Elephas maximus indicus: one gene and its partner. The protein of the gene in region 2 interacts with the protein of the main gene of each other region in a biochemical or structural test. Links are inferred from orthologs where the notes say so. Each region holds a gene or a part of one and is shown on either strand. Other genes may lie near its edges.

Region 1 (15,853 bases), on a different chromosome or scaffold from region 2:
TGTGCAGTGGTAGACAGAACAGTAATATCAGCCGAACCTGAATCTCAAACCACATGCCAGATTGGAAAGCTGTATTTTCAGACCCAAATTCCCAGGAAAACTCAGAAACCAACTATGATCAGCTCAAGTTGGCTCTCTCTAGTCTATAGGGCTGTTTATTGATCCAGTTCAGGCTAACAGTAGGAAACTTTAGAAGTAATGACAGTTTCTGACTAACAAATAAATAGCCCAGGGACAAGTGACCCTAAATGCTGCCAAGCAGCCTGTAGGCAGTGGTTCACTGGAATTCACCATTGTTGTTAATAAGCCACCTTTGAAGAAGCCAAGTGCTGTCTCCAAATAAAACCCCTCTCTGGGGAGTGCCTCTAGCACTCAGGATGCATAGTAAAAGCGCAAGTTTTAAGTAAAAGATATAACCCCATCATACACACACTTAGAATGACCCAGGATGCCTGCAGATTATTTTCCCCACTCAAGTACAATGTTTCAAACACAACAGCTCTCACTCTGCTTCTGCCTGTCTCAAACAGCGAGAATGTTTCACAGCCTAGTTTCAAAGGACAAAGTCAAGATAAAGACAGTAAGAACTACTGCAGTGTCTTCAGTTCCAGGTTAAAGAGGGTGCTTTAACTCTTGCTTCCCCTCAGCAGCTCCCCTGCGGAAGTCAGGGCACGTACCATCCGAGCTGGGGCAGAGTTCTGCCTCTGCGTGAAGAGATCTTTACTCTCCTCAAGTCCATGAGAGTGCAGGCAGCCACGAGATGCAGGTCTGATTGGCTTCTTAAACTCAAAGGCTTCCTGCAAGACAGTATAGCGGAGACATCTTCTACTGTCCATGAAAACCAGCTCTAGGGCCTCAGCTGTAGCTTGGGTGAGACAGGCAAGAGGAGTGGGCACTAGTCACCACCTTTACAACAGCCTCCGAATGAAGGGTGGAGCTGTTTCTGATCTAACTTCTAACACTGGATATGTGTAACCTGTTCAATGACCAACTTCTAAAGCAGCATTCCCCCTCCACCACAAATACTTTATTTCCTAACATACAAATATCTGCCAACTCTACAAAACAAAAAATCTCAGAAAAACCACTACACTGGGATAAATACTATATGCTTAAGGGCCTTCTATTTTTCACCTCTTCATACACATAAGAAAATGCCTTTCCCGCTTCAAATAACTATCACATACTAAAAGCAACAAAAACAAAAACTACTGGCTTGCCAGTTTGTGGCTAAGTCTCACAAATACAATGTTGAGTTAAAGGAGCCAGATGTGGCAGAATATATACCGTGTAAAAAAAAAGTTAAAAAACAGGCAGAACTAATGTAGGGTGACAAAACGGAGACTAATGGTTACTTTTGTGGGAGATGGTTACTGACAGAGAGGCAGCAAAAGGGAGCCTCTGGGGTTTGGTCATGTCATCTTGATCTGGGTGGTACTTATATAGGTATGCTCACTTGTAGAAATTTATCAGGCTGTATACTTGAGATCTGTATATTTTATTTTATGTTAGATTTCAATACAAAGTTTAGAAAACAAGTATAATTATAGAGAAATTTGAAAAACCACACTGCCCTACCTGAAATACCCACTTAAGAACTTGTCATTAAGGGCTCAGTGCAATAACAACTAGTATCACATAATGTTGATGTGCCACCACAGTACCCAAGCACTTTCTGTGCATTAATTCATCTAACCCTCAAATACCACCTGGATGCCCCCATTTTACAGATGAGGAAACTAGGCCTTATAGGCCACATGATGTGGCCAAGGTCACAAAGCTAGGAAGTATGACACCAGAGAGGGCACGCTTTTACCATCACCTACCCAGTTTCCCCTCTAGAACAAGGGTCCAGGCAGGCAACCCTGGGAGAAGCCAAGCCCTGGGTAGGGCCAGGCATCAGTACAGCTTGGCCTGTGTGGCAGAAAGCACTACACAGAGGCTGGAGCAGTGCCCAAGTGCTCAACACAGGGAGAGCAGGGTGTTCCCACAAAAACTCATTTCTGTATCCTCCCTCAAAACATCTCTCAAGTTGCCAAATGAACCATCAGGAGAGTTCTTGGAAGCAGCAGGTTTTGCAGTAAGTGTGGAAGATTTTAAGGATTATAAATTGTGGTATTTCAGCAGGGAATGGAAAAAGGGGGGAAACAAACAGATGTAGAAATAGTGAGAAAGAGGGCCTGGGCTAATTCATTCAGTGAGTTTGGATGCCTGCCCTATGCAAGGCACCCTGCCAGATGCAAGAGAGAAGGCCAGGCCACAGTGTTGAGACTTTTTTTTAGATGGACGATCATAGAAATTCCTCCTCTAAGCCACCATTTCCATTACCCTGAGATTCCCTGGAACCTATTGACCCAATTCTTCCAAATGCTGCCAAGAAGCCTTTTCCTGAGCTCTCAGGGTTAGAGCAAAGAGAAAAGGAAAGCCTGGGCTGACCCTCCCAGACTGACTATTTATGGACATAAATATTCCTAAGAGCTGCCATCTGAGTAACTCCTACATGGCAGGTACCATTTTAAGTGTTTTATATACATTATCTCACTTATTTCCAGCAATGGTCATAAAAAAACACATCTATTTTACAAATGAGGAAAGTGAAAACTAAAAACAGAAGTAACTTGCTCAAGGTCACACAACGAGTAAGAAGGAGGATTCAAACCTCGGATTCTCTGACCCCAAAGACCATGCTTGATTTTGGCAAAGGTTTCAGCTCCCAGAAAGCAGCCAGTCATTGATTTTACTTCTGCCCGGGGTTAGTCGTTAGTATAGCGATGCCATACTCACATTTTCCTTGTTCTCATCCTGGTCAATCATGTGAAAGACATCATGGTCAAGAGAATCAGAATGGCTCCTCTTCAGAGCTGGGCTACACCCCAGGAGCTTCTGCTATCAAAATGAAAAGAGGAAATTAGGGTACATAAATGAGAATTCAGTTCTCAAAAGAAAGGGAAAGAAAAAAAAGAGGGGAGGGCTAGCTCTTCTTACACTATAGTAGTAGGTATCCAATAAGTGTGGCCAAGGCGCCATATTGCCAGAACACAGGTTGGAGGTCCTCATTACATGGCTTTACACCTAACCTGACAAGGTCTACATTCCTCTCAGCAAAGGCCAAATCATCTCCAAAATAATATCACTGGTGTAAAAAGAACCCTGGCAGGTTTGATAAAAGTCTGGTAGAGATGAATATGTAGAGGGTCTTGAGTGCTTTTCCATAGTCTTGTGCTTATAGATAAGCAGTCTTCACCCTTTAAGATCTCATATCAAGGTTACATTGGTAGCTAAGCGGGAGGGGAGGGGGCAGAGAAAAGGTATTAGCTCAGAATAAACAAGGACACTAACTTACAGGTAGGGAATTTATTCTCCTCATGGGATTTTCAAGGCTGCAATTAGACCAGAAGGTAAATAATGAGAATAAAGCAAGGATTTATTCATATTAGCAGACGAACAGTGTCTAGCCTGTAGTCTGGGGACAGTTACACAGACCAGCCTCCCAAAGAAGCAAACCCAATATTGAGTTTCTAGGTGAAAAAAACAAACTAAGGTCTTCCCTTAAAACGCACAGGTTCCCCCCTTCCCCGAGAAAATTGCAAAAATCATGAAGCAAAACAAAACAAAAACCCTGAATTATTATACATTGGAGGTGATCAGAAATGCTTTTTGCTGTAGTCTGTTTTCCCTCATCCCTAATCTTCAGTGACAGTGGCCTCTTGCAAGGACTGCTTACTCACACCACAGAAGCACAGCTGAACTAAGTTCAGTTGCTCCTGTGCCCCACTCTCCCCACCGGTCCCACCTAATGCTCAGAGTCCTCAAGGGAGTGACTGTTTTGCCCTGAGAACCTTCACAATGACTGAAAGCACAGGTTTTCTTAAGGCCATGATGTTATAGGGTGGAGTAGGGGTTTGAGTGCTCTGAATAGAACATCAAAATTATAGCTAAAATAAAGGAGGAGAGGTTCTGAAAACTGCTGATGTAAACCACTCATTCTCAAAAGATAGCAAGAATGTTGGCAGGATTAAGGAGTCTGACTACCATCAGTCATCCAGTTGATTCTGACTTATGGTGACCCCATGTGTGTCAGAGTTTGATTGTTGTTGACTAGGGACAGCTAAAGCCAGGGGTCTAGGCCAGAGTGTGAAAAATGTCATTATAGAATTAACAAAACCTTTTTCTAAGCACAAACATTTAAAAGCAGTGAATACATACTTTTCTTTACTGTCCAAGGGCCCAGGAGAATCCAGACAGAAGCCTGTGGGAAATTGAAAAAAAAAAAAAAAAAAGTGTTTCTAGCCGCCATTAATCACTGTAGTTCAGCTGGTCTATAAAGCAGCCTTCATTCCTTCAACCAGAATTTCCATTTGCCTGTCGATTTTCATTTAAAATATTTTCAGTTCTTTGTGCTTTGCAAGTGTCTAAAAATCTCTCAGAAAATCATAAACAAAATACATTTTGTCATTAAAAATAAATAAAATTAGAACTTTACGTATAAGTCAGCCAATAAAGACTCATAGCTTAGACCTTTGCCAGAACTGAAGTCAAACCTCTACTTGATTTCTGTGGTTTGCTGATTGTCAAAAACATCTTATTTGCGCAAGTCTGAATATTTTTGTAGTATAATCTATCAATTCCCTCTCCTACTTGCAAATACTACCAAAACAAAACAAAACAAAAAAACCCAAACTATGGAGATCCCATGTACGTCAAAGTAGAACTATGCTCCATAGGGTTTTCAATGGCTGATTTTTTGGAAGTAGGTCACCAGGCCTTTCTTCCAAGGTGCCTCTCACTAGACTCTAACTTCCAACCTCTCGGTTAGTGCATTAGCCGTTTGCATTACCTAGGAATCCCAATTACCATCAGTTGAAACAGATTTTGAGGAAAAGGTTAAACTGATTCACGGCATGATTGCCTGGTTGTTCAGAGGTAACTCAGGTAACTTTCCAACTGTCAGTTCCAACCACAGAAAGAACAGGTATCAGGGTTTTCTGGGATAGTTTCAATTTCAAATATTTTATCTTGGCAAATCACGTGGGAAAATTTGGGATTTTGAAAATTCAATTACTAGTCGTGTGACATGTAAGGCCAATATTTGCTGCCTTCAACAAAATGGCACCAAAGTAAGGTACCCATCTCATGAAAGGCCTCCCACACTGCCACAAATAAAAATCCTATATCTAGCTCTCAAGAAGCTGCCTGTATTTTAAGACTTTTGTTCTTGCAGTTCTTTCACCTAATGTATCTGTGCCCAAATGCTCTTATCTGTGCAAAGATAAACCCTGTAGTAACATAAATTTATGATTTAGAATAATACAGTGGCGGTTTTCCTCCACAAGCTTACTCAAATACTTTCATTATACTTCCAATAACTTGACCCCAAATTTTAACCGATGACGTCCTGAATTACACTTATAACGGTATGGTGAATTTTACTTTACTACTCATCCTTCGGAAACCCTGGTGGTGTAGTGGTTAAGCGCTATAGCTGCTAACCAAGAGGTTGGCAGTTCAAATCCACCAGGTGCTCCTTGGAAACTCCATGGGGCAGTTCTACTCTGTCCTGCAGGGTCGCTATGAGTCGGAATCGACTTGACGGCAGTGGGCAGTGGGTTACTCATCCTTCAAGGCCCAGCACACACCACTTCCTTGCAGACACTTGAACTTGTTTTGTCTCTCCATAAACTGCTACAAGGGGTTTCTTCCTGCTGTTCCTAAGGGTGTTTGTCACCCGATGCCTTGCATTCTCCATATCCTGTCTCAACCACTCACCAATAAGTCCCCAAGTGAAGAGGAATATTTCAGTAAATTCCCAGTGTTGTCCCCTACACAGCAGACACACAATGCGTAACTGAAGACAGAAAATACCTGAATCAGTTGACTCGGAGGAGCCCATCCTCTGCAGACTGCTGTTCTTCACCTCCAGTGCCTGCTCATACTCACTACAACCAAGAGAAATTTCCAGGACTCAATTAAAAGGTTACATGCAGGAGACAGGCCACAAGCTTAACAAGTGGCCGGGCTGGGCTGCCATGAACCATCATTACTTCTAGGCCACACCAGGCTCCACTTTCCCACCCTGAACACCCAGTTTGCACTTGAGGATAAAAGCAGAGGAGAAAAGAGAAAGTGGGCACACTCCTGGGCCACATTGTAGGGTATGATTATGACCAGTATTGAAATATTTCCTGAAATGGGAACATGTGTTCTAGGCACTGGGCTAGAAGAGACGATTAAAGATGACCAGGGCAGTGTTTCTGCCTTTCAGAGGTTTAGAAAGGAAGAAGACATTTGCTTAGTTAGAAAAAGGGATGCCCAAGGCTGGGAGAAAAGCTGCCTCATTAGAAACACTGTACGATGCATTTTTTACTCTAAGAAAAAGTCCCGGAGCTTTCCGGTATGGAAAGTTGGGTAAAAAAGCCTGGCTTTGGGAAAGGAACCGAGTGGGCAACAGGAATGCGCACGAGGCCAGGAGAGATTGCGATAATTTTGTACAAACACCAGGAAAGAAAATGCCACGTCCCTTTGTTGGGTAGGAACAAAGCTCACAGGAAATTAAGATCCTGTGAGGTTCAGCTAAGGGCTAAGGAGGCCCTGCTTTCTCCCCGTGGGGACAGGTTCCAGAGGGCTCCCTGGGATAGGGAAGAGGCAGAAGGAGGGTACAGGGTAACCCCAAAGGGGTGGTGAAGGTGGGGAGCAGGGGCCATCCCCACCCCACACCGGGTCCGGCCCTGGAGGGTCCGAATGGCCTCTCCCGCCCAACATTCCTCACGAGAAAAGGGTGCACATGGCGGGCCCTGGGGCCGGCGCTGCCGCCCCCGAGCGGCAGACCCAGGCGGGCAGGTCCGCCTCTCCCCGAGCCGGTTTCCCGGCCCAGTCTCCCCGGGGACCGCCAGGACCGACAGCCTGGAGCCCCACCGCTGACCTCCTCCTCACCTGCCCAGTCCCTGCAGCTGGTCCATGGTGACCGTCAGGTTGGTGACAGGCGACAGCCCCCCGGCGGCTGGCGCGCCGAACAGCGCCTTTACGACGGCCGGTGGCGCGGGAGGGGGGCTGCAGGCGAAGAGCAGGCGCCGGCGGTGCGGGGGCTCCGGGCCCAGTTCCATGGCGGCACCCGGCCTCCCCAGGGCTCCCGCTCCTTCTTTCTCCGCCTCCGCCGCGCCCGCCCCGCCCCGCCCCGCCGCGCCCCGCCGCGCCCCGCCGCGCCGACACCGGCCTCGGCCGCGCGCCCAGCTGCCGGTGTCAGCGGGTCAAACACAAACACGACCCCGCGGTTTAGGGACGCGGCCGCCGCGGGCAAGCGGCGCGGACGGGCGGGTGTCTGGGCCGGGCAGGCGCCAGCCACACGCACGGGGGCCCGACCCGCCCCCCGCGAGGCCGGCGGGCGGGCGGGAGCCGGCAACCTGAAGATTAAATCCAAACACTGAGGATCAGAAAAGGAGGGCGGGAGAGGGCCGCGAGGCAACGGCCCGGGCTCACACACTCTTCGTTCTTCTCTCACCCTTGCCCAATCCGGGGACGCAGAACACTAAGCAAACCCACACCTCCCTCCCGGGCTGTTGGGGCTGAGATGGCCTTTCGTGGCTCACTAAAGGGCCGCCGGTGCCCCGCCCCCTTTTCCTAGTTGGCGCCAAATGGAATCCGCCAATCCGTAAGCTACCTCCCCGCCCCCGAATGGCAGCCAGGCTGGACCAATGAGAGGAGAAGAAGGGAGCCGCTCGCGGGACTCTGCGAGGTCACCAGCTCTTGAGGGGGCGGGGCCCAGAGGTGACGGGGGCGGGTGGAAACGAGAGGGACTCAGAGGTCAATGAAAACTCCCAGCAGGCCCTGCGAGGCCCGGCAGAGACCAAAGGACCCCTCTTGACCCGTTGTATGCTGGGAAGCGTAGTTCCCACTCCGCGTGTACTTCGGGGGACCTCCTACCCGCGTTGAGCCACGCCCGCGTGTCCCGCGCCCCACAGCGTGAGAGAATGTGGAGATGAGAGGACTCGTCCGAGTCAGCAGGGCCCAGCCTTTTCTCTAGCCGTGCAGCACTATGGGCTGCTCTTCTGTTCGGCCCCAGACGAAGTTACAGAAGTTGAAGGACGCCCAGCCAGCCTGCGGGCCCGCCCGCATCCTCCCCGGCTCCTGACCCCAAGGGAGCTCTAACCAGCCCGGCCAGCGGCCCGTCACGGACACCGCGGGCTGCCCTGCCCACCAGCCGCTGGCCAAAGGGGGCTTGAGTTCCTCAATGCCTCATGCGCGAATCGAGATGCACCTTCGGTGTAAAAATCCACCTCGGATTCCGAGGCGTAGTACGAAAAATAAAATGTAAAATAGTTCAATAAATTTAAAATATTGATCACAGGGAGAAATGATAACATTTTTGTTGGGCTAAAAGCACAGCGTTACAATTACTTCCACCTCTCTTCACTGTGGCTATTTGAACATTTAAAATCTATGCGGTTCGCAGGTATATTTCTATTACACACACAGTGCTCCTGTAGATTCTGGCCCCTACCTCTCCCTGTGCCTGCTGCCCTTGCCCGGGTGTAGGCCTCATCATCTTCCTACTGTACGACTGCAGCAGCCTTTTAGCTGGTCTCTCAGCTGCCAGAGTCGCTCCCTCTTCCAAGCCATGTTTTCTACTGCATCGATCTCATCCTTTCCCTCTCCCAGGACATCTTCTTGGGATTCTCTTCAGCCTATTCTGAGCACTCAGTCCTTCTCGGGGGCTCCCCTCTGCCATTCCTGCTGCTCCTTATCTTTCCCGTACCATGCATACACTCTAATCTTCCTGAACTATAGTTAATAGAGGGACTTCAGAGCAGGCCACATTCTCTCTCTCCGGTACTAGGAACTCTCTTTACTGCCAAGATGGTGCAGGCATTAACTCCATCTGGAAGGTTACCAGTCACTCTAGGATGTGGCCTCAGAGTTTTGTGCTCAACTGCATTTTAAAAACCCAAACCCATTGCTGTTGATTCCGGCTCACAGCGACTCTATAGGACAGAGTAAAACTGCCCCATAGGCTTTCCGAGAAGCAGCTGGTGGATTCAAACTGCTGACCTTTTGGTTAGCAGCCTTAATGGTTAAGCGCTGTGCCACCAGGGTTCCACTTCCATTTTAGACCTTACTATTTTATATACTGAAGGGAACCCTGGTGGCATAGTGGATAAGTGCTATGGCTGCTAACCAGAAAGGATGGTAGTTCAAATCCACCAGGCGCTCCTTGGAAACCCTATGGGGCAGTTCTGCTACTCTGTCCTACAGGGTCTCTGTGAGTCAGAATCAACTTAAGGACTACGGGATATTCTGCTGTAAATCTGAATCCATTTGATGGCAATGGGTTTATATACTGTCTAGGAACACTAGTGGTGCAGTTGGTCAGGGCTCTGCGTGGGGAAAGATGTGGCAGTCTGCTTCTGTAAAGATTTACAGCCTTGGAAACCCTATGGTGCAGTTCTGTTCTGTACTATAGAATCATTATGAGTAGGAATCTTTTTTTTTTTTTCATATATACTGTCTTAGAATATTTCCTTTTCACCCTTTCTTACTCCATTGGGAGCTGCTGGATAGCAACGGTAGTAAAAATAATAATAGCTAACACGTAAACAGTGCTTATTATGTGCCAGCCACTGTTCCGTTTGCTTTACCTGCATCCATTTAATCCTTTCAACAGCTCTATGAGATGGGAATTATTATCCTAATTGAATAGGTGACTGTATTTCTTTTTAAACCCTTGCAACCACTGGTGGCTCCTAGAATGGTTTCATAAGACGGGCATAGATACAACCACCAGGCTTTAAGAGGACTTGTCTTTCAACAGCATTTTTAGAGTAAACATACTCTACTTATTAGAATGCATGTTTGTTTCAGGCAACTTTAACTGCGTGGTGGACATTATGACCACTTCCCTGCTCAGGGCCTACCACTGTATGAAAATGGTTCTTTAAAAAACTGCTTTCAAATGTTTGTATTAGGCAAACAATGCAACATAATTACAAAATTAGAAAAAAAAAACCCGTATTCCTACCACTTTTAAAGGAACAACTGTCAACACTTTGAACTTTTTTGTGTGTGTTCACTATTTTTTCAAGATCAAATCGAGGAATGAAAGGTCCTTCTTGACTGGGCAGACATTTCCTGAATGGGACTGGCACAAGTGGGATAACATTCCAAAGGATTTATCCCAGAAAGTCCAAGTATTGGAATAAAAGCTTGGATTCAGTAATGTCACAAAGCCACCATCTTTTTCCTTTTTAAAGGTTGACTAAAGTTGAGTGTGATTTGTATGATGTTTGGGGGCTATCTTCATTTATGAAAGGAAAAGCGTAATTGAACTGCCCCTTTGCCCCATTAATTTAGGCATGCTTTCTGAAGTCCCGCAGGGTGGTGTTAGAAGGAAAGAGCTCTGCACTGTCAATCTGGAGGACTGATTCTGCTTTGGGGCAAGTCAATTGTTATTCATTTGACTTCTACTGAGGGCCTACCAACTTTCTAGGCCCGAATAGACAAGTCATTGTTTCCTTGGAGGTTGCCAGGAGTGCCATCTCTACCCCCATTCCCCCTTCACCTAGCTAACACCCACCCTTCTTTCCCTTGCCAGGGAAGTTCTAGCCTTGGACTCTGACTGATACCCACCCTGGATATCATCCACCCCTGAAGAGCACTTATCATATGTTTACATTTGCTTCTACAAACTCAAGTTAAAGAGAACCTCCCAGAACACGTTGAGTTAATGAATACATGTTACAAAGAAAAAGTATGAGTGCTCTGAGAGCATTTAAGGGAATCTAATCTGGCCTTGTAGATCAAGGAATTCCTGAGGAAGTGACCAGAAGGATAAGTCCTTATTTGGTGGAGGAAGAGTGTTCTGATCAGAGGAACAAGTCCTGTGCAAAGACCCTAAGGCTGGAAGGATCCAAGAAGAGAGAGGAGATTGGGGAGGTGGGCAGCGACCAGGCTTTACCAGGGTTTGTGAGCCACATTCTGGAATTTGGACTTCATCCCAAAAGTAAGGGGAAGTGACTGAAGGGCTTACACATACATTTTAAAAAGATAGCCCTGGCTACATTGTAGAGGATAGATTAGAGAGGGGCTAGGGTACAGCTGGGGAGGCCAGTTTGGAGGGAATAACAACAGGCCTAGTATGAGATGGTCGTGGCTTGAACTGGACAGGGATGATGTGGAGGGGAAAGTAGGCCTCAGATTCTCCCTGTGGACAGTGAGGGTGATGGCCCACAATTGTGTCTTTCAGGCAGTGAAGGGCCCCATTGGGGGTCTAGGCTCCTCCTGTTGCCAAGCTGCTACCACAGTAGCTTGGCTTTTAAATCTACATTATATATTGCTGTACCTTGTATATTTTGTTTGAAGGAGTTTCTATTGCTAAAAACAAAACCAAAAAAAAAAAAAAGAAACACCCCAAAACATTACATGTGTGGTTTGGAAATTTTTTAGACTTTTTTCCCAATCAATCTATAAGATTTATTTTCTATAGAAATGGAAACATTCCTTTCCAGTACAATGTTTTACACAGGCCCATTCTCCTCTCAGAGTCCCCGGGTGGTGCAAACAGTTAACTTGCTTGGCTGCTAACAGAAAAGTTGGCGGTTCAGTTCCACCCAGAGGTGCCTCTGAAGAAAGGCCTGGTAGTCTACTTCCAAAAAAATCACCCATTGAAAACCCTACGGAGTACAGTTCTACCTTGACACAGATGGGATCGCCATGAGGTGGAGTTGACTCAAGGGCAAATGGTATGTCTCTCTCAATCTGTCTGCTGTGGAGACAGCCTGGGCCTCCCTGGAGGCTACAGGGCTTCAGCTGAGCACTGAGAAGGAAGGTCAGAACTAGGCTTTCTAAGATGGAATGAGCGGTGCAGGAGGCTGACAACCATTGTCCTTGATATTGTAGAGACAAGGAGGAGCACCTGGAACTGGGGCTTTCCAGGTTCTGAGTCTCCATCCGAATCCTCTGGGGAGCTTTAACTTTCATTTAGCTATTTAATGAGTAGGTAATCCATTCATTTGGTAGGAATTTAAATGATACTAAAAAGGCCTAGGGTAAAAAATTCTCTCTGCCACACTTGTCCCAAGCTACCCTGTATTCCTCTTCAGAGGTCACCACTGAGGCCAATTTTTTGTGTCTCCTTGGAAGAGTTTGTGTTATATGCTAACAAAACCAATACATATTCTCTCAAGCACACTTTTAAAAAAATTTTCACACACGCAATAACATATGAACACAGTCCTGAACCTTGCTTTGTTTTCCACTTCAAATATCTTGGACATGGTTCCGTATCAGCAGACTTTTTTTTTTTATTATTATGGTTACCACTTGGGAGAGCTTTTTGGAAAATATTGAACCCCTGGCCTCTCTCTCCCTTGGATATTTTGATTTCGTAGTCTTGGTGTGCGCTCCTGGAATCTGTATATTCAGAAAGCTCTCTGGATCATTCTGAAACATAGCCAGGTTTGGAAACCACTGAACTCCCTGACACCCAGAGATTACACAGCTCTAATACAGAATTTGTGTTTATCCTGGGTTGTGCTGGGTACTGAGCTTTTAGAATTGCATTCTGAGCACAGGCTAATTGCTGCCTATAGCTAAATGTTTTGCTCCGAGATGTGAACTTTTCCAGCAGAAGCCCCCATCATTCCTTCACAGGTGCTTCCTGAGCCATCTCACCCACCCCCAGCCCTGCCCTACCCTCCTGCCTTATCCCGTAGTACTCCCAAGTCCCTATCTCCCACTGGAATCTCCTTCCGGAACTTCAACCCTTTATCTGAATCCACCTAGAAAGGCCCACTGGCAACTCAAATTCTACGTGCCCCAAATCGACTTCACTTTTTCTTCTTACAAACCTGTTACCCTCCCTAGTCCTCTTGATAGGAAATGGCACCCCCATATGACCCCCTCTCTCTCCCCACCAAGCCTTCCACTAGCACTGACACCCAGGTGACCTTTGTAAATGCATACCTGATTTCCTCTCCCTTCCCTCTGCTTAAAGTTTCTCAAGGACCTTCCATTGCATAAAGAAGGCGCTTCCACACATTTGGACCCGCAACCTAGAACACACATGCACCAAGTTTCTCAATGCATCATTTACTCACACTACACGCAATACACTGTTTTCTATTTTATGCTAGTTCACGTAAAAAAAAAAAAAAAAAAGCTGGTTATAAGCCACTAAAATTAAAGTCATGACACACCTCTAGTTTGAGCAGCGCTGCTGACAGGCCGAAGCCTGAACCCTTTGGTCCAGAACACCAGATCCTTCGCAGAGATGCGCCTCTCTGGCTTTGTCTCCTTTCTCCTGTGCTCACACTGCTCCCTCCAGAAGCTTCAGGCTATTTAGACCTCTCCTCTGTCACAATCCCTGGGGTCTGAAATGTGACCCCATCCCCCAGCCCCAGTCCACTGTTTCAAATATTTCCCCCGTCATATCTCTGAAAGCTTCTTTCCCTCCTTCCTGTTTTGTGTAGCTTAATATTTGATTCAACATCCCTGTAAGAGCATTCGTTCACTCATCCAATAAATGTTTATCTATTTTTTACTGGGACTAATTCAGTGCTAGAAATAAAAATGCTTCAAGGAGTGCCCATCTGCTACATGTAAAATGCAATCTTGCAGAATGATTCTTGTAATAACGGAAACATCACCACGATTGTCGTTATTGTAGTTAGCTGCCTTTGAGTAGATTCCAACTCACGGCGACCTCATGTGTGCAGAATAGAACTGCTCTATAGGGTTTTTAAGGTTGTGACCTTTCAGAAACCAGGCCTGTCTTCCCAGGCCCCTTTGGGTGGGTTCCAACCGCCAACTTTTCAGCTAGTAGTCTAGTGCGCTAACCATTTGTGCCACTCAGGACTCTTATCTCTGTGATAGTAGACGCCAATGGTGACCTAGAGGAGGAAAGGAGATGGAGAAGGCTGGAGGGAGGGAGAGGGGGACTTCCCAAAAGAAATTAAAACTGCTGAAGCTTGAAGCTATGGGTACCTGGAAAAGGGGGACTTGGGGTGAGGTGGGGTGCTTTCTAAGGAGAGGAAAGAGCCTTCAGAAGCTGGGAGGTGAGAAGAGACGTGGCACTTTTTGGGAACTACTCCTGAGCTGCTCTGGTAGGTTCTAGGACATACATGAGGGACCCAAGTGGGAAGAAGGGGACCATTGTTGAAGGCTTTAAAGTTTGCTGAAGAATTTGGTCTCAACCTGTGGATAGTGGAGGGTGTGGAGGGTGGGACCAGAAGATCAGATTTGCTGCAGGATGGATCCATGGGGGAGAGTTAGGAGGCCTAAGGAACAAGGAGGGGGCTGTCTCAGCAGTCCTGGTGAGAAATGATGAGATCCTGGATCAAGCCCAAGTCTGGTGGTCTCAGAGACAAGAGGAAGAGGGTGATCTTGGGAGCCATAAAGGAGGTAGATCTTACTGGATTTTGAAAACTAGTTGTTGAGTTGGGCGGAAGACAGGGGGGAATCTAGAATGATTCCCAGGTAAGGACTCAAGCACCTGGGTGGATGCTGATGTTATTTCAACAGGCGGCACAGTTCTTAGAGGAGTTTAATGAACTTAGTTTTGTATTTGTGGGCTCCCCCCCACAAAAAAAATTTTTTTTGGGGGGGGTTAGCACTCGGGATAGAGATTTGGAATTCATTAGCATGAAGAAATGATGAAGTAAATGACCTGAGCAGAAGATTTCAAAGGGCGCCTTGAGGAGACAAAGTATTATAGTGAAATGTGCAAAGAACGGCGTTAGGAAACCAAAAGGGAAGAACGCTCTTGGCATTTCTCAAGCTGAAAGAATTGAAGAAAAAACTCAAGCCTCAAGTTGCAATATTGAAGGATTCTGTGGGCAAAAAAATTGAACAATGCAGGAAGCATCAAAAGAAGATGGAAGGAATACACAGAATCACTGTACCAAAAAAAAATTGGTCAACGGTCAACCATTTCAGGAGGTAACATATGATTAAGAATTGATGGTACTAAAAGAAGAAATCCAAGCTGCGCTGAAGGCATTGGTGAAAAATAAAGCTCCAAGAATTGATGGAATACCAAATGAGATGTTTCAACAAATGGATACAACGCTGGGAGTGCTCACTCTTCTATGTCAAGAAATTTGGAAGACAGCTGCCTGGCCAACTGACTGGAAGAGATCCATATTTATGAGCATTCCAAAGAAAGGTGATCCAACAGAACGCAGAAATTATTGAAATTATTATCATTAATAGCAAAATTTTGCTGAAAACCAAAAAAACTAAACCCGTGGCCTTTGAGTCAAATCTGACTCCTAGTGACCCTATAGGACAGAGAAAAACTGTTCCATAGTTTCCAAGGAGCGGCTGGTGGGTTTGAACTGCTCACCTTTGGCTAACAGCCGAGTTCTTAACCACTGCACCACCAGGGCTCCTTCAATTCTCCAGGGACTTTCATTTTGCTGAATCCAGTGATCAACTCCCACTGACCAACTCCCAGTCCTCATCTTACTCCGGCAGCAGCAGCCCATTAGTAGCAGGGGATACAGCTGAAAACTGTATTTGCATGCTTGGCTTTCAGGACAACACTCTCCAGATTTTCTTCTTATCTCAAAATGGAGGAGCCCCTAGAGGGCGGAAATCAGGCATTAAGGGAGGGAATAGCCTCAGGCCTCCTGGATAAGCCGGGGACTCTACCTGGGCATTGCAGCATCTGGTTTCTAGCATCAGCATAGAGCTTGGTTCATAGTCTATGAGAACAAATGTTTGTGGACGGAATTTGGATGTTATCCTGAAGGCAGCAGATTTAGAAAGGGCCTCTGAGAATCCAACCCTGCCCACCCCCCAGTGGAAATGGACTGGACTCAAGCTTGAGGCAATGAGGCTGGTCTGTAAAGTCCCCTTTCTCTTT
Region 2 (15,752 bases):
TCCAGAAAATACTAGCCCTCCCCCATTATCACCAAATATCTGATTACGTAGACACATAACACTATACATCAACACTGCCATTACTAAACAGGACATCTTAAATGACTGCAATTCAGGGGATTAATAATAGAAAAAGAGCTGGAGAAACAACCCACAGAATATTAATAAGAAAATTTCATCAATTACCAAAGACTATTTCTGAAGCGTAGGCTGAGCCATATTATATTTAGCCTCAGTTTTTATAAAGAAACAACTACAACCTGACTAGAAGTGAAACTAAGCCTTCTGTTCTCTAAGGACCTCTCAGACCTGTTTGGCCCAGCCCACTGCCTTTATCTCACACAGATTCTCAGCGGGGCTGGGGGTGGAGAAACGTAACATCATCACAGACAAGCAGGCCTGTGAATCCTGGGCTCCAGGCTTGTCCCACTAAAGACATAAAGGTAACCATCCTTTTTTATCCTCTCAATGGTATATTACATGATTTTTGATTGCCTTTAAGAAAAAAAACATTCCTTCAAAGCCTAATGGCATCAATTGATTATACAAAATAGAACCTCGCAGTCTTTTTAGGGGAATGAACTGAAGCCCGAGAGATTAAAACATATTATACCTAAGGCTTCAAGAAACCATGTAAGTTCCAAAGGGCACTGAAGGGCTCTACGACGCGGGGCGGGGCTGGGGGCGCAACTGCAGGGCCTGTAATTTAAAAGCAGGCCTGCAATGCACGCAGTGCAGAAAACGTCGACATTCTCAGGGGGCAACAAAGAAAAGCAAACTATGTACGTGGCATTTGGAAGACGCTGTTTTCCATCCTAACCAACTCAGCAAGGAAAACGCTGCTAGAAAACATTACAGATGAGAAAACTAAGACTTAGCGTTAAATGACCTGCCAGACCAGGGGCACACAGATGGTTAGTGGCAGTGGGGCGTTTGATTCTAGGACTAGCGAAACCAGGGTACACATGCTGTTGTGTGCCGTCAAGTCGATTCCGACTCACAGTGACCCTGTATGACAGAGTAGAACTGCTCCATAGGGCCTCCTAGGCTGTAATCTTTAGGGGAACAGACCGCCAGGTCTTTTCTCCCTTGGAGCCGCTACTGGGTTCAAACCACCAACCTTTGAGTTAGCAGCCAAGCTCTTAACCCTTGCACCCTGGGAATACAGGCTTTTCAAAGGGTACACAGCACAGTTTTGGGGAATGTTTGGATTCCCAACTTCCATGCATACCCTTCCATGGAACGGGTCTGCCTGACATGCTTTTCTTCCACTCACAGGAAAGCCCACCCCCAGCCACCCCAAGTCTCACAATGGCGTCTGGGAAGCCTTCCTTAAGCCAGGCCCTGTAAGCCACCCACGGTTCATTCCAGAAAGAGGTGTGCTGCCAAAAAAACTTCACTTCTTATGTTTAACAATTATCTATCAAAATTAGTAATACTTATTATTTTGAGTGATTGCTGCAGGGAAGTGTGAGGTAACTGATAAAAGATGTAAACAATGTATTTTGGGAGGACAAAATCCTACAGGGAAAGGGGAATGGACTTCAGAGAGTAAAAACGAACAATGTAAAATTTCTGACTGTAAAAGATACGCTTGTTCACATAGTCTTAAAATTTATGACCCTGGTTATAGAGTCGCTGATATCTGTACTCCTTTGGATACATTCAAAAGTAATTAGCAAGGATCAATTATCAATATTTACAATATGCTGGGAAATATAACCTTTGCAACTATTTAACCTTGGAGACAAAAAAGATTACCGTCAACTCTGAGTCGGAATCAACTCGATGGCACCCAACAAGAACAAAATCATCTCAGGAGTAAAAAGATTGCAGAAATTCATTTAAGGAAGGAAGCAAGTAAAAGAGTTAGAAGATCACCGCAATATACCACAGCTTCAAAAACACGGAATGGAATCAAACACGCAGAGATCATAACGGTGCAGAATATTCTAGAAACAGTCAACACCTCCAGTTAAAGGGTGGACTCCACTCACCTCCATGAGCCAGTCCAGAAGGATGGCGCGCATCTTCGGCTGCAGAAGAGGGTGCCTCTGCATGACGTGCTTATCCCTCAAGTAGGTCTTTTCTTTGTTTAGCATGATATTCCACACTTCGTCTCTATTTGCCCAGCTACCGAACATAAACGAGTATTAGAAAGCACCCAGACTGACGAGGGAGGGGACGGTGACGACACGGAGTGGAAGGTCTGGATGCCACGTGTACAGCGACACTTACTTCAGAACTGGCAGTGGTGAGGCTCTCGTTGGCGCGAAACTCGGAGGTTCGTAGGCGGAATGTGGGTATGCCAGCTCACCCTCCTCTTTGTCAGGTGTCGGGATCAGGGAGCAGGGGTTTGCACAGGCTGCATTACTGTCCCAAGGCTATAAAAGACAAACACATTTTGTTTTTGGTGCCTGATGTACAATGGCTATTTTTACATTCACTGATTTGTAGATTGGCCAGTATTAAAAAAAAATATCCCACTGGAGAATAGCCTTCAGGCCTAAAGTGAGATGGAGATGGGTAAGTAAAAGCCACAGAGATGATGTCAAGCTTTTATTTCATCAGCTTAGGAGTCTACAAGTAAATACCTAAGAATATTTTCCACATTACCACCTTATATGGGGTACTTGAACAACAAAATGAACAGAAGGGTAAAATAAAATGCCAATAGCTCTTACAGTAAAAAAAAAAAAAAAAGACAGACAAATCCATTTATAGCTCAGTAAAATACTAGGCATGACTTCTGCAATTGCTTAGGAAAAAGAAATACTATGGGATTGTTGTCATTTGTAGTCGCTATTGAGTCGATTCCAACTCATGGTGACCCATGAGTGCAAAGTAGAACTGTGCTCCACAGGGTTTTCAAGGCTTGACCTTCCAGAAGCAGATTGCCAGGCCTGTCTTCTGAGGCACCTCTGGCTATTAGATATGCTTGTTCATATATTCTTAAAATTTATGATTGTGGCTATCAAGTAGCTGATATTTGTACTCCACTGGATACATTTTAAAGTAATTTAATTAGCAAAGATCAATTATCAATATTTACGATATTCTGAGAAACATAATCTTTGCAACTATTTAAACTATGATGAAAAAAGATGAATTAGGTTCGAACTGCCAACCTTTCATCTAGTACGGGAGTCGCTTAACCGTCTGCACCATCCAGGGACGGCCCTACTCAGGGATTATTTTGTCACAAGCCAAAGATTTGTTTTTTATCAAGTATAATTCATCTGCTAAACTTTCTTAAAAGTGTAACACAGAAAACTATAAAAGATCAAACATATACACCAACTGCCATTCTCATTAGACTCCTCCATTTTGAAACAAGAACACATAGGATGTGATATCCTCCCTTAGTTACAGGAAGAGCCAAACATGCTACACAGTGAAGATCCTCTATTTTCCTTAATTCAAAGCAAAACGAAATCAGTGCAAAAAAAAAAAAAAACCTAATCAGGCAACGATCCCGGGTTATACTAAGACGTTCATGCAGATAGAGCTTAAAAAAAAAAAAAAGAGCTTAGATACTGATTACATTAAAAAAAAAAAAAAAAAACTGCCATGGGACACGGTAAAGACAGATCAAAGAAAACAACTTGGGTGCAAACTGAAATTTTTGTCCAGTTTTCCACACTTACTCGTTTCTGTGGCAAAATCCTAAAGACACCTGAACCCAGAGCCCTATACAAAGTAAGACTCAAATACCTGCTAAATCAATGAATCATTAAAAACCAAGCCAATATGCTTTTCTTTTAAAGTTTTCAAATACTTAATTTTATTCAATTCTCCATGTTTGGAAAAGACTAAGGTCATTGCACCATTTGGAAAATTTTCTTTTTTAAAGCTACCTCTAAACTGCTCTGCTGAACTTCATACTATAAAAAGAAGCCTATGTTTAATTTTTAAAGTTATAACACAATGATTTTGTTGAAGATATGGCAGGAAACAATCTTGCCAGCAATGGAAGTTTTAGACTCTTGGCAATTTTTTTTTTTTTTTTTTTTTAATGCAGAAAGGCCATTAACGTTGACTAGAAAAAAAAAAAAAAAAAGACACCTGAGATGACCATAAATGACCCTGAGGACTTGGGCTCTACATGCCACGTGGAAGATAAGGTCCACAGTGGCCATCATAGCACACTGGCCACCTTCAAGGACACCTGAGCACTTTCAGTCTCCTGAGATAGGCAAGGTGAGAAAGCTCTTCACCACCTGATGCGCAGAGAAGCGGGCAGACAAATCGTCCATCCCAGCGCCTGCCAACAGCTGTGCGAGAAGGGCACCCTCCTCCCCAGCTCTAATACCATGTGCCGGTGGCATTTCCTTGACTCAGAGAAGATCACATTACAACTGCTCTAAATTCACTTTGTTCTTCATACAAGAAGAGACTGAAGCTTAGTTTTGAAGGCAGAAGCTTGGTACCCCCCTCGACAGCCAGGCGGCTGGCACAGCTGAGCAGGCCTTTGGTGGTAAACCGGCAGCAGTTCCCAACCTGCAGCTCACAGACAAGTCAGGTGAACCACACGCAGACAAACGGTTCCCAAAGCTGGCCTTTTCCAGAAGAAGCAGGATAATGAAGTCTAAGTCTTTAGCCTGAAGCGTACACCAAGTTTCAAAGGAAGAAAGATCAGACTGGCTTTAGGAAAGAATGGGAGAACAGCAAGAGACCAACTGTGACTACTCCTAACCATCCCTGATGTCTTATGCCACAACTAAGGATAGAATTACATTGTGCCAAATGATTTTCTGAGAATTAGCAAAGTCCCAGACTCTGCTCCAAAACTAATGTTGGGTCATGTGCAAGAAATAAAACAATGAAATGGGTATGTATGCTAAATGGACTTTAGATGTTGTTGGTAGGTGCTGTACATTTCAACTCATAGCAACTGCATGTGACCAAGTAGAACTGCCCCATTGGGTCTTCTTCACTGTAGTCTTTATAGAAGCAAATAGCCAGGTCTTTCTCCTGCAAAGCTGCTGGGTGGGTTCGAACCGCCAACCTTTCAGTTAGCAGCCAAGCATTCATCTGTTTGCTCCACCAGAGCTCCTTGGACTTTAGACAAAAGGCACTTTTTCACTAAGGACGGCCTTGATGAAGCAGTCACACTCGGCACGACGGCTCCAGGAAACTTGGGTTGTTGTACTGGGCTATACCAGAGTGTTGTCCTATACTCATGACTGGCCCGCTGAAATAACTCCTGAGGAAAATTCTGTGTAATTAATAGTTAAAAAGGTTCTGTTGTGTCCTCAAATTCTAGCTTCATGAATCTACACAGAAATAACAAAGACATTGTTCCATAACAGATGGATAAATTTCAGGCTATCTACTCTACAAACACACAGAAACCTGTTCTCATGAGTCTCTGGACAACCACGAAATGCTTTCTAGTGGGAAATAATATGGCTATTCACGTATCCCAGCTATCAATGCTCCGCAGTGCCAGGACAGGGCCCTGTCTTAGGCACCCTAGAAACTGCACCAAGAAGTCAACATGGGGGGCTTTGCTTTACCTTCAGTTGCAAAGTTCCTTTCCATTTGAAACACAGCTAAGAAAATAAACAATTTTGATTCTTACAAGTAGGGGTTCGTTTTATAACACCTCGGAAATCCACTTGCTTGATAAGAAGTTTTTCTCTTTAGGGGCATAAAAGGGGGAGAAAGAACTTAGGATGTGCCGTCCATTCCCTCTCCTAAACTCTTTCTTCTAACAGAGAAAGAAACCCTCCACCCTTGCTGAATATTCAGCAGATCTGCCCCAGAAATGCCTGATACTAAGGTCAGTGCAGTGACGAATGCTGCTGCAAACAGTGCGGCCCATCAGCTCTGAAGCCCTTCACTCTTCCCAGCCCGGCTGCCGTGGCTACTGCTCGCTGCCCTGACCCAGGCAGGACCGCATACACAGCTTGAAAACTACTCCCGCGCAGCTTTTATCTGCGATAGCGTCAGGCCTGACCAGCTAGTTTGGAGATAGATTGCTTCCCCTAGTGGAACGCTAACTATAGTCTCAGCCATTTCTGGGTGTAGAGATAATGCAAGTTTTCGCTGCAAAGAATCTCTGATATTATGACGGCACCCTATATGCAGGAAACTCGACAGAAACTACTTAAGGGAGGGACGAGAGAAATGGACCAGTCAATGAGAAATGTGTGGAGACACACACATCATTACACAGAATGAGATCAGGATGAGCCCTGATCACAGTGGTTAACTGCTGGATGGGCTGGAGGAACTCCCACGGCCAGAATAGGTGGAAGGTTTGAAACTGGACCTAAGTATGGGGTAGGGGCAGGGCAGCAAAAAAGGTCCTTAAACTCCCCTGTGACAAAACAATCTAAGTGTGGGTGGGGAAGTCAGTGCTTGTAAACACACACAAGCACCCATCATCACAGTCACCCTGAGAGTTCTGTGTCCAGAACCTTCCGTCCTTCGTGAGCTTTTAGAGACACGGCTGCAGGCCTGACTCTGCCCCCAGCCTGTATACATCCCTGGATTACTTTCTTCCTACAATTGGGCCTCAGTTTCCTCATGGGTAAAAACAGAAAAAAAAAAACCCAAAACAAAAAACCAAGCCCGTTGCCCTGAGTCGCTTCTGACTTGTGGCAGCCCTACGTGTTGTAGAGTAGAACTGTCCCATAGGGTTTTTAAGGTTGTGATCTTTTGGAAGAGGACCACCGGGCCTTCCTTCAGAGGCGCCTCTGGGTGGGTTTGTACTGCCAGCCTTTCAGTTTGTTTGGGCCACCCAGGACTCCTGGGTAAAAGGAAAGGACTGAGTTATTTAGTGTCCGCTCTGGTTCTTCCAGACAGCACGTATCTATAATCTCAGAGCGTGCTGGTCAGGAGCACAAGACCTTCCTGGAAGCCCAAGGCTGGCAGAGGCCAGTGCCCACCGGCAGGCACAGTGCTCAGCTGTGTGGACTGTATGGAATTAGAGAAAAGACCTTCAGCAGGAGGTGGCAGGGCATAAACCCAACTTGACCGTGGAGAGGGGGAGGCCCTCCGGCTGGACCAGGTCAGCGAGCACATGTACCTGACTGCCACACTGGCTTCTCACAGTCCTCTCAATTGTGGCGACTTCTTCATCTGGATCCTGCAAAAACTAAGGTAAAACAACCCCCACACACAGAAACACACCAAACAACCCAGAGACAAAACACACAGAGAAAGAGAGAGAGAGAGAGGGAGAGAGGGAGAGAGAGAGAGAGAGAGGGAGAGAGAAAAGAAAGTTGATTAGGTCATGAGCGCCATTTCTGCCAAAGGCATCCCCCGCCTAAGCCCCTTTGGACAAGTTTGTGGGCAGAGCCCAGCCTGGTACCCAGGTAAGACGGGGGGTCCTGGCCCCACCTGTCCCCTTTGTACTCACAACGGCCACATTTGCCTTCCTTTTCCTGGAGCGAGCAGAGAGATCGCTGCTGCCGTCCTCCTTCATGGTGCCCCGCTCCTTCGCATCCCTGCAAAGCGGGTGGTGGCACCACGGCCGGGTGAGCCCCCGTCCCGCCCGCCCGCCACCCCTCCCCCTCCCCCCCCCCCCGCGCCGGCACTCACCTCTCCCTCCTCTCCCGCGGCATGGCGCAGGGCGGCTCCGACCGGGCCTGGGGGGCACGGCGCGGGCAGGGGTGAGGCGGAGGGGCGGGCGGGCGGCGGGCCAGGCGGCCGCGGCACCCCTCCCCCTCCCGCGCGGGCGGCGGCGGGAGCCTCCTGGGCCGGCCGGGAAAATGGCCGATGGGCCCGGGGTGGCCTGTCACCCGCGGCGCCGCCAACAGCCCGCGATCCCGGGTTCGAAGCAGGGCTGACGGGCCCCGGGCGCCCCCCGAAAGCCCGCCGGCGTCCCGCCTGCCTCGGCGCCCGGGCTGCCTCAGTCTCCCCGCAGCACCTCTCCCTCGGCCCTCCCCGGGGGACCCCGCGCTGACGACCCCGGCCCTCAGCCCGCAGCCCGCAGCGGAGCCCTACCCGAAGCCGGCTCCTCGGCGGGCGTCGGCACGAGCCGAGGCGGGAGGCGGCGGGCGAGCGGGAAGCCGGGAGGCGGGCGGCGGCGAGCGCGCGGCGGCGGGATCCGCGCCTCCCCCTACACCGCGCTGGCTGCCGAGGCGGCTGCTCCTGCGCCCGGCTTCGAGCGGGACATTTAAAATCCCTGCGCGCGGAACCGGCCCCCGGCCCGCCCCCGCGCCCTCCCGCCAGCCCCGGCCCGCCCCGCCCCGCCCCGCTCCGAGCCCCTCAGCGGCCGCCGAGGGGACCGCCCCGCCCCGCCACCGCCCTCGGCCCCGCCCCGGCCGCCTCCGCGCCAGCCAGCTGAGGAGAGCCGGGCCGCGCGGGGCGGGGCCAGGGGCCGGGGCGGGGCCTCCCCGGGGCGGGACCGGGGCGGGGCTAAGTGACAGGGCCTGCGCGCCGGAGGGACAGGCGCGGGCGCGGTGGGCGGGGCCCTGGGCGGGGGCGGGGCCCGAGCTGCGGCTCTGCGCGGGCGGGACGCGGGAGAGCCAGAGCGCGCGCGGTAGGGAGGCGGGGCCGCGCCGGGGGCGGGGCCTGAGCGGCAGAGCCCGCGCCGGGCGGAACGCGGGAGAAGTCTGGCGCGAGCGCCGCCGAGGGGCGGGCCGCGGAGCTCAGGGGGCGGGGCGGCGCGGCGCTGAGCTGCTGGGAGCCGCGTGGCCGTCGCGGGTGGAATGTAAACACGGCGGACAGCTAGGGCTCGCGCCGGGACCCGCGGATGCCGGAGGCTGCTGGTCGCCGAGGCCCCGCCGCCCGTCGGCCCGTTGCGCGCGCGCGCCCAGTCCTTCCAGGCACGTCCTCCCCGCCCTCGAGACGCAGGCACGGTTCCGGGCCCCGGGTCCGGGCGGGGACGTGTCCAAGGTCACAGCGCGTGGTTGCCGGCCCTTTCTGGCCGCGGGTCTGGGGCCGCCTGTGCACCAGCTGTTTGTCCTGGCGCCGTGTCGGCTCTCGTCGGTCCCTCTATCTGTGCATTTATTCATTCAATTAATACTCGAGCGCCTTCCATGTGGCCCTCCACGAATGCCCCTCCCCCACCAAAAGGCCTTTCGGACGCGGGGTTTCCATCAACCTTAGGTTCAAATCCGCACTCCCTACCCTGGTCTGCAGTGCGCCGAATAAGCCGCCCCTCTTCTCCCTCTCAGACCTCCTTGAGCCTTTCCCCACCGCTGCAGCGGCCACCCTCTGTCCTTTCTTACCTCAAGGCCTTGGAACTTGTTTTCCCCTCGCCTGGACCCCTTGTGGTGCTCATCCCCCCAAGAAGCCTTGGAGGTCTTCAGCCAAACTCAAAGCCACTGCCATGGAGTGGATTCCGACTTATAGCCGACACCATAGCGTTTCCAAGGCTGTGAATCTTTACGGAAGCTAACTGCCACATCTTTCTCCCGTTGGTGCCCCTCGTGGTTTTGAACCACCGACCTTTTGGTTAGCAGTCGAGTGCTTTAAGCACTGTGCCACCAGGACTGCATCAGAGGTCTTTAGTGACCACTTAATCTAGAGCACTCCTGTCTCCGCAGGAGTTCCCTTCATCTCACTGCCCTGCTGTGGTCCTTCGCAGAGGCCACTTCTTTGTTTCCTTGGTCAATGTCCCCCTTGCTGTCTTGTCTGTCTAGTTCACAGCTGTATCCCCCAGCTTTTGGCATAATGTCTGGGGAGGAAAAAAAAAAAAGGGGAGACCCCTAAATCATATTTTTGAATGAATGAATGAAATGTACCCTGCCCGAGCCTTTGTGGGGCCTACGTGCTAGTGGGAGAGACAGGTATTGAACAATTGTCACTGGTAATTGTACTCAACTTCTAGAAGGAGGGTTTAACAGAGGGCTCCTGAATACTCTCAGGCCCTTCCTGGTTCAGTCTCAGTGTTTCCTCCCTCCCTCAGTGGCTGGCTCCTTGAAGTTAGAGCCTGGATCTTATTGAAGATCAGGTCTTGTGTCTTCCCCAGAGATCCTCGTCAGCAGATTCATGAGTTCCCAGGAGCTCTGAGGCTAGGGCAGCTGAGGTGACTTGTGTAGGCTGGCTTCTTAGGTGGGCATGGAACCCAGGCTCCTGATCCTTGTGCTCTTTGGTAATGACAATTGCTGTTACTGTGTGCTGTGGAGTTGATTCTGACTCACAGCAGGTATCGTAAACAGCACTTCCAAGATGGCAGCATTGGTCTAAATCCATCAAAGCGTGATCCCAGTGAAACTTCACAGTGGCGCTCTAATGTTGGTCCTATGATTGTCCTCTTTAACAGATGGCAACTATCTGCTTCCTGGGTCATTGCAAGGATTAAGTGAGATAACGCAGGTGATCGCTTAGTACGGTGCCTGGCACATAGTTATAAGGATAACAGAGATAAACAAGACCCTTTTCCTTGGTGGTTGTAGCAATTGGCTCTCTCACCAGCAATGCATGAGAGGTCAGGTGCTCAATATCCCAGCTGACATGTTCATCAGCAGTAGAATGGATACACTTTGGCATATTCATTCAATGGAGTACTTCACAACAATAAAAAAAGAACAAACCTCTGAAATACACAACAATATGGATGAATCTCACACACATAATATTGAATGTAAGAAGCCAGATGCAAAAGACATGCACAAAAGACAATGACTGTCAACCACAGAGGCTGCCCAGAGCTGCTGCAGCACAGCGCTGGGGAACCAGAGTGTGGGAAAGCCCGGGAGGCTTGGCTCCAGCCATCCCTCAGCCCTGGAAACCTGTCTACACTCGTCTGCCAGGACTGCTAGAGTCAAGGGCCCAAATCCGTGCTCCCCAAGGCTTGGTTGCTGCTCAAACTGAGCTCATGCTACCGCGTGTGGTAGGGGGGCTTACAGGGACAGGATTGGCAAACCAATGGATGGTCCCAGGCCTGGCCTAAAAGCCTGTTACACAGGGGAGGAAGTCCAGTGAACACTTCTTTAGACAGCAGGCTGGATCCATTAAAAAGCCCTGATGAAAATTACAGTTAGCTTTTAAACTCAGTATATGATAGAACAATGACGGCAGCTGGCATTTGTGGATGCTGGGCTCAGCTCAGGGTTGCAAGGAACAGAGACTAATTTGAAGACACTCCAAGCACAGGGGGTGTGTGTGACAAGATGTGGGGAATGCGTCAGCAAGGGCTGAGGAAGAAGGTGCTTTGTCCCGAGTCTGACCACCATATCCCCAGCTTTCATTAAAACCTCATTTTGGGTTCTCTGAAAACAAGCACAGCTGCAAGACAGAGCAGGAGCTTGGACAGAGAAGACCCTGGCGCTTCCCTTTTGGTCAGTGGCCACATTTTCTTAGAAACACCAGGTAAGGGAGAGTCCTGGCTAATCAGAGCACCACATTCGTGGCCACGTGATTGGTTCAGTGATAGGCACATGACACAAGCTGAACCAATGAAAATTTTCTGGGGTTGCTAGGCTGAGTGGACTGGAGCCAGGAGGCTATCTTGCCACCCAGGGTGAACCTTCTTGGACTGAAGCCCTGGGGGAAGGGAGGAGGCAGAGAAGCTGGAAGGCCGGCTTTTGATCCTTTGAGCCCCTAGATCCAATCATGGCAGAGACCAAATTATTAGGGACTTTCCAGATACTAAAGCCAATACGTTATTTTCACATACTTATTTAGCCAGTTAAGAGTTGAGTTCCTGTTAATTGCAATCAAGAGTGTCATGTAGCATCAAAGTGCAATGAACCATCAGACTTTGTCTAGCCCAGGGCAGGCCCACCAGTGAGCCTCCCAGTGGTCCCCTGGGGCCACTGAGGCTCTTGTCTCTAAGGTTCTGTAAATCTATCCAGGAGTGGCTGACCAGCACATGGTTCAGGAGGTGCCAGGTTTGAACATGGCACTGGACGTCAGAGTCATCCTCTCAATTCCCCAGAAAGCCTAACCTCCCTAGAATCATCCGTCAGTCACTGGCTTGCATCAGTCTTGTGGGAATCCACATGTCAATCAGCATGGCAGCCTCAGGAGCCCCTGTATGCCTGCCCCGGCACAAGTGCCAGTGAGGCTGGCGTGGACCGGCTTGGCCCTGTCCTCCAGGAGTTGCCAGGAAGACCTCACATGCTCTGGGGGTCAGTTGGACACTAACTGACAAGGACGGCCCCCGAAGACGATGGGGCAGAGATGGCAACTGATGCTGGGCCCCACAGAGTATCAGATTAGCAAGAATATGAGTTCCTGTACACATGAGGGTTTCTGACTCTGAGCAGCAGGGTGAGGGAGCACAGTTGGACTCACGTGTGTGCAGAGCAATGGCAGACGGCCACCCTCTTTGGGTGGGGCAGCTCTTCCCTATGGCTTTATTCCTTTGGGTATTGTCTTAGACTGGGCTCTCTAGAGGAGCAAAACCAGTGAAGAAGTGTGTATATATATATATATATATAAATATATATAACCCAAACCAAAAGCGAAACCCATTGCCGTCGAGTCAATTGCGACTCATAGCGACCCCATAGGACAGAGTAGAACTGCCCCGTAGGATTTCCAAGGAGTGGTTGGTGGATTTGAACTGCTGATCTTTTGGTTAGCAGCCAAGCTCTTAACCACTATGCCACCAGGGCTCCAAAGAGAGAGATTTATTTCCAGGAAATGGCTGACACAGTTGTGGAGGCCAGCAAGTCCCAAATCCGTGGGTCAGACTCACACGGTTGCAGGGCCTGATGCACCCAAATTGGCAGGTCAGGCGGCAGGCTGCTGGCTCACAGGGCTGTGGGAACTGGTGATTCCCAGAATCTGCAGGTCAGGTGGCAGGCTGCTGGCTCATGTCCCAAGAACCGGGGGTCAGATGATGACAAGTCAGATGCACAGTCGAGACAGAGAGAGAGCTGTGCCAGAACATCCATATATATTGGATGCAGGCCACACCACCCAGGAAACTCCCCTTACATCAGATCACAAAATGGAGGACAATTACATAATACTGAGAATCATGGCCTAGCCAAGTTGACACGACATTAACCATCACAGGTATCAACCTGCCCACTGTAACTATCTGACCTTGTGACCCCACCTAGGAATTCAGAGCTCATCCAGATCCATTAGGATAAGTAAACAGGAAGGAGGAAAAGTACAGAGCAGTGAGGAAGGGGTAGGCCAGAAGCGTTGCAGACCTAAAGACCTGAGCGTTCCCCCAGAGCCTAGAACAGGGCCTGAAACAGCCAGGTGTGCTGAATAAACAAACAGATGGATGAGTGAGCAAAGGAAAAGGAAAGACTTTTCCAGAAGGCAATGGGAGGCTGGATGCACGGAGTGGGGTTGGGGGTGGGGGTCCTTCTTTTGCTGTGGCTCGCGTAGGGCTGATACTGGGGACACAGAAGGACTCTGATGCCACCCTCATGCTGCTCTGCTCTGAGAGCCACGCACCTTCAACCTCCCGCTATGATTCGTAAGTCCCACTGAAGTCCACTTGTTTGAAAAGGAAAACCTATCCCTACCCTAGGCCAGCATCAGCAGTCACAAACAGAAGGGAAGCATAAAAATATTTATAACCAAGAACAGTGCCTAAGGCTGTGAGCCTGGGGCCTGATCTCTTTCTGTTTAAAAAGAGCAGCAAATACGAGAGGTGTTAAGGACACCTCAGCTTCAAACAGAGACTTTCTCCTTGATTGAGCAGAACATTTGAAAGGGTTGAAAAGGGAATGACTCTCACCATGCAATATGATAGTGTTTAAAATTAGCATATAAAACTGCGTTCAGCGTAAGGAAAGGGGTGAGCAATGGGCGGGGATGTAAAAAGGTCAGAGGAGGGATCTTTCTGAACTGAGGGCATTCCGGAGAACTTCCTGCAGGAGGAGACCTTGCAGCATCTATTAGTGGGTGCCCATGGGAGCCTGTGCAGTGGCCTGGGGAGCGGAGCTGGGAGAGGTGGTTTCCAGCTCTGGGTGTTCCCATCTCAGTATGTGACCTGGGTGCAGTAGTTCCAGTGCCCAGTGCTTTGGCTTCCTTCTCTGGCTGGAAGGATGTAAAGAGGGTGGTTGTGAGGCTGAAGTAGGGGCCTGTGGGAGAGCACATGGAGGGTTCAGTACCCAGGGTCTAGGGGAGAGGATGGCTGTGTTTTCAGGATCTGTCCCCAGCTCCCACAGGAGTCCCCTAGTTCACTCTGGTCCATTTTTGGTGGGGACATTAGTGGGCTCAGTTCCAGTGTCTGGGGACAATTAATCATGTTCCCTGTCTTCACACGTGTCATGATGCTGGATAATAGAAAGGATTTAGTTATCAAGGGTCCACAAGATGCGTTGCACACGGTAGGTGCTCATTAAATGTTCGCTGAATGGATGCAGGGATGAAGTCTATTCTAGGGGCGCGAAGGCTAAATCAGATGTCGTCCTGCCCTCGAGATATTCACTCCCAGTGGAGAAGAAAAGCAGTCCACAAAATAGCAGGAGGAATACCAAGGGCATCAGCAAGCAGCAAGAGAAATGCTAAGATGAGCAGGCCAGCCAGGGTGGGCCAGCACCTACAGCAGGGGTCCCTGCCGCTCAGGAGAAAGAGCAGGAGGTGGTACCACAGACACTGTCTTCATCTAGGTCACCAATGCCCTGCATCTTGCCACATCCAAAGGGCACATTTCAGGCTCATTTTACTGCCCTTTCAGGAGTGTTGACCACGGTGGACCACTCCCCTCTTCTTGAGAACACCTTCTGGTCTTGCCATTGGTGACACTACACTCTCCTGGTTTTCTCTCCCCTCCCTGGCCGCTCCTTCTCAGTTCCTTTGCTCCTCCTCCTCTAGTTACATGAAGGAGTTCTCCAGAACTTTTCTCGAATCTTTATTCTCAATATACTCCTTTTCTAGGTGGTCTTACTACCTCCAGTCCACACCTCTATTCTGCCCACAGGACATCTCTGAGACTTGGCAGTCTCACACGCATCTCAAGTATAATATGCCCCACTCTGGCTTTACCTGCCTGTTATGTAGTGCTGCGATAAGAGAAATACCACAAGTGGGTGGCTTTAACAAACAGAAATTTATTCTCTCACAGCTTAAGAAGCTGTTCTAGGGGAAGGCTTTCTCTCTCTGTTGGCTCTGGGGTAAAGTCCTTGTCATCAATCCTTTCTTGGGTCTAGGAGCTTCTCAGCAAAGGGACCCCAAGTCCAAAGGTCATGCTTTGCTCCTGGCTCTTCTTGCTTGGTGGTAATGAGGTCCCTCCTCCTCTCTGCTCCATTCTCTCTTTTATATCTCAAAAGAGATTGACTCAAGATACAATCTAATCCTGTAGATTATGTCCTGGCTCATTAACATAACTGCCTCTAATCCTGCCACATTAACATCGTAGTGGTTAGGATTTACAACGCATAGGATAATCACATCAGATCACAACATGGTGCACAACCATACAATACTGGGTATCATGGCCTAGCCAAGTTGACACATATTTTTGGGGGACACATTTCAATCCATAACACTGCCTCTATCCCATCTCAGTAAAAGGCACCACAGTTCACTCAATTACTCAAGCCCCAAACCTGGTATCCATTCTTGATTTTTCCCTTTTCCTCACTTTCCACTTTGCATGCATCAGTAAGCCCCAGTGGCTCCCTGCCCTCCAAATATTTCCAATCTGTCTATGTCCCTCCATTTCCAGTACCACCGTCTCATTGTAGACTAAGCCACCATGCCTGCCTGGAAGACTACCATGTCTCCAAACTGGTGTCCCACATTTGGTCTCTCTTACCCACAAGAATACCTTTGCCACCTAACAGCCAGAGTCCACAGTCATTTATTTTAAAAGGGGCTTGATCAAATCTGCACTTTCCTAGAGCCATTTGACAGCTTCCTGCTAATTACAGAAT

What was found.
Region 1: the proteins of CCNE1 (region 2) and CDC25A form a complex in vitro, tested with the Homo sapiens proteins (2 studies listed by BioGRID). The link is inferred for Elephas maximus indicus from reciprocal best matches to the Homo sapiens genes CCNE1 and CDC25A.

What each region holds. Positions count from the first base shown.
Region 1 is NC_064838.1:52,518,320-52,534,172, forward strand, and holds the start of CDC25A (M-phase inducer phosphatase 1), read right to left. Parts: upstream 7,155-15,853; 5' UTR 7,101-7,154; coding exon 6,931-7,100; intron 5,937-6,930; coding exon 5,863-5,936; intron 4,250-5,862; coding exon 4,207-4,249; intron 3,381-4,206; coding exon 3,344-3,380; intron 2,887-3,343; coding exon 2,785-2,886; intron 798-2,784; coding exon 678-797; intron 1-677. UniProt on the Homo sapiens protein: Tyrosine protein phosphatase which functions as a dosage-dependent inducer of mitotic progression. Directly dephosphorylates CDK1 and stimulates its kinase activity. Also dephosphorylates CDK2 in complex with cyclin-E, in vitro.
Region 2 is NC_064839.1:11,548,095-11,563,846, reverse strand, and holds the start of CCNE1 (G1/S-specific cyclin-E1), read right to left. Parts: upstream 8,021-15,752; 5' UTR 7,957-8,020; intron 7,599-7,956; 5' UTR 7,575-7,598; coding exon 7,552-7,574; intron 7,458-7,551; coding exon 7,370-7,457; intron 7,106-7,369; coding exon 7,037-7,105; intron 2,385-7,036; coding exon 2,239-2,384; intron 2,134-2,238; coding exon 1,998-2,133; intron 1-1,997. UniProt on the Homo sapiens protein: Essential for the control of the cell cycle at the G1/S (start) transition.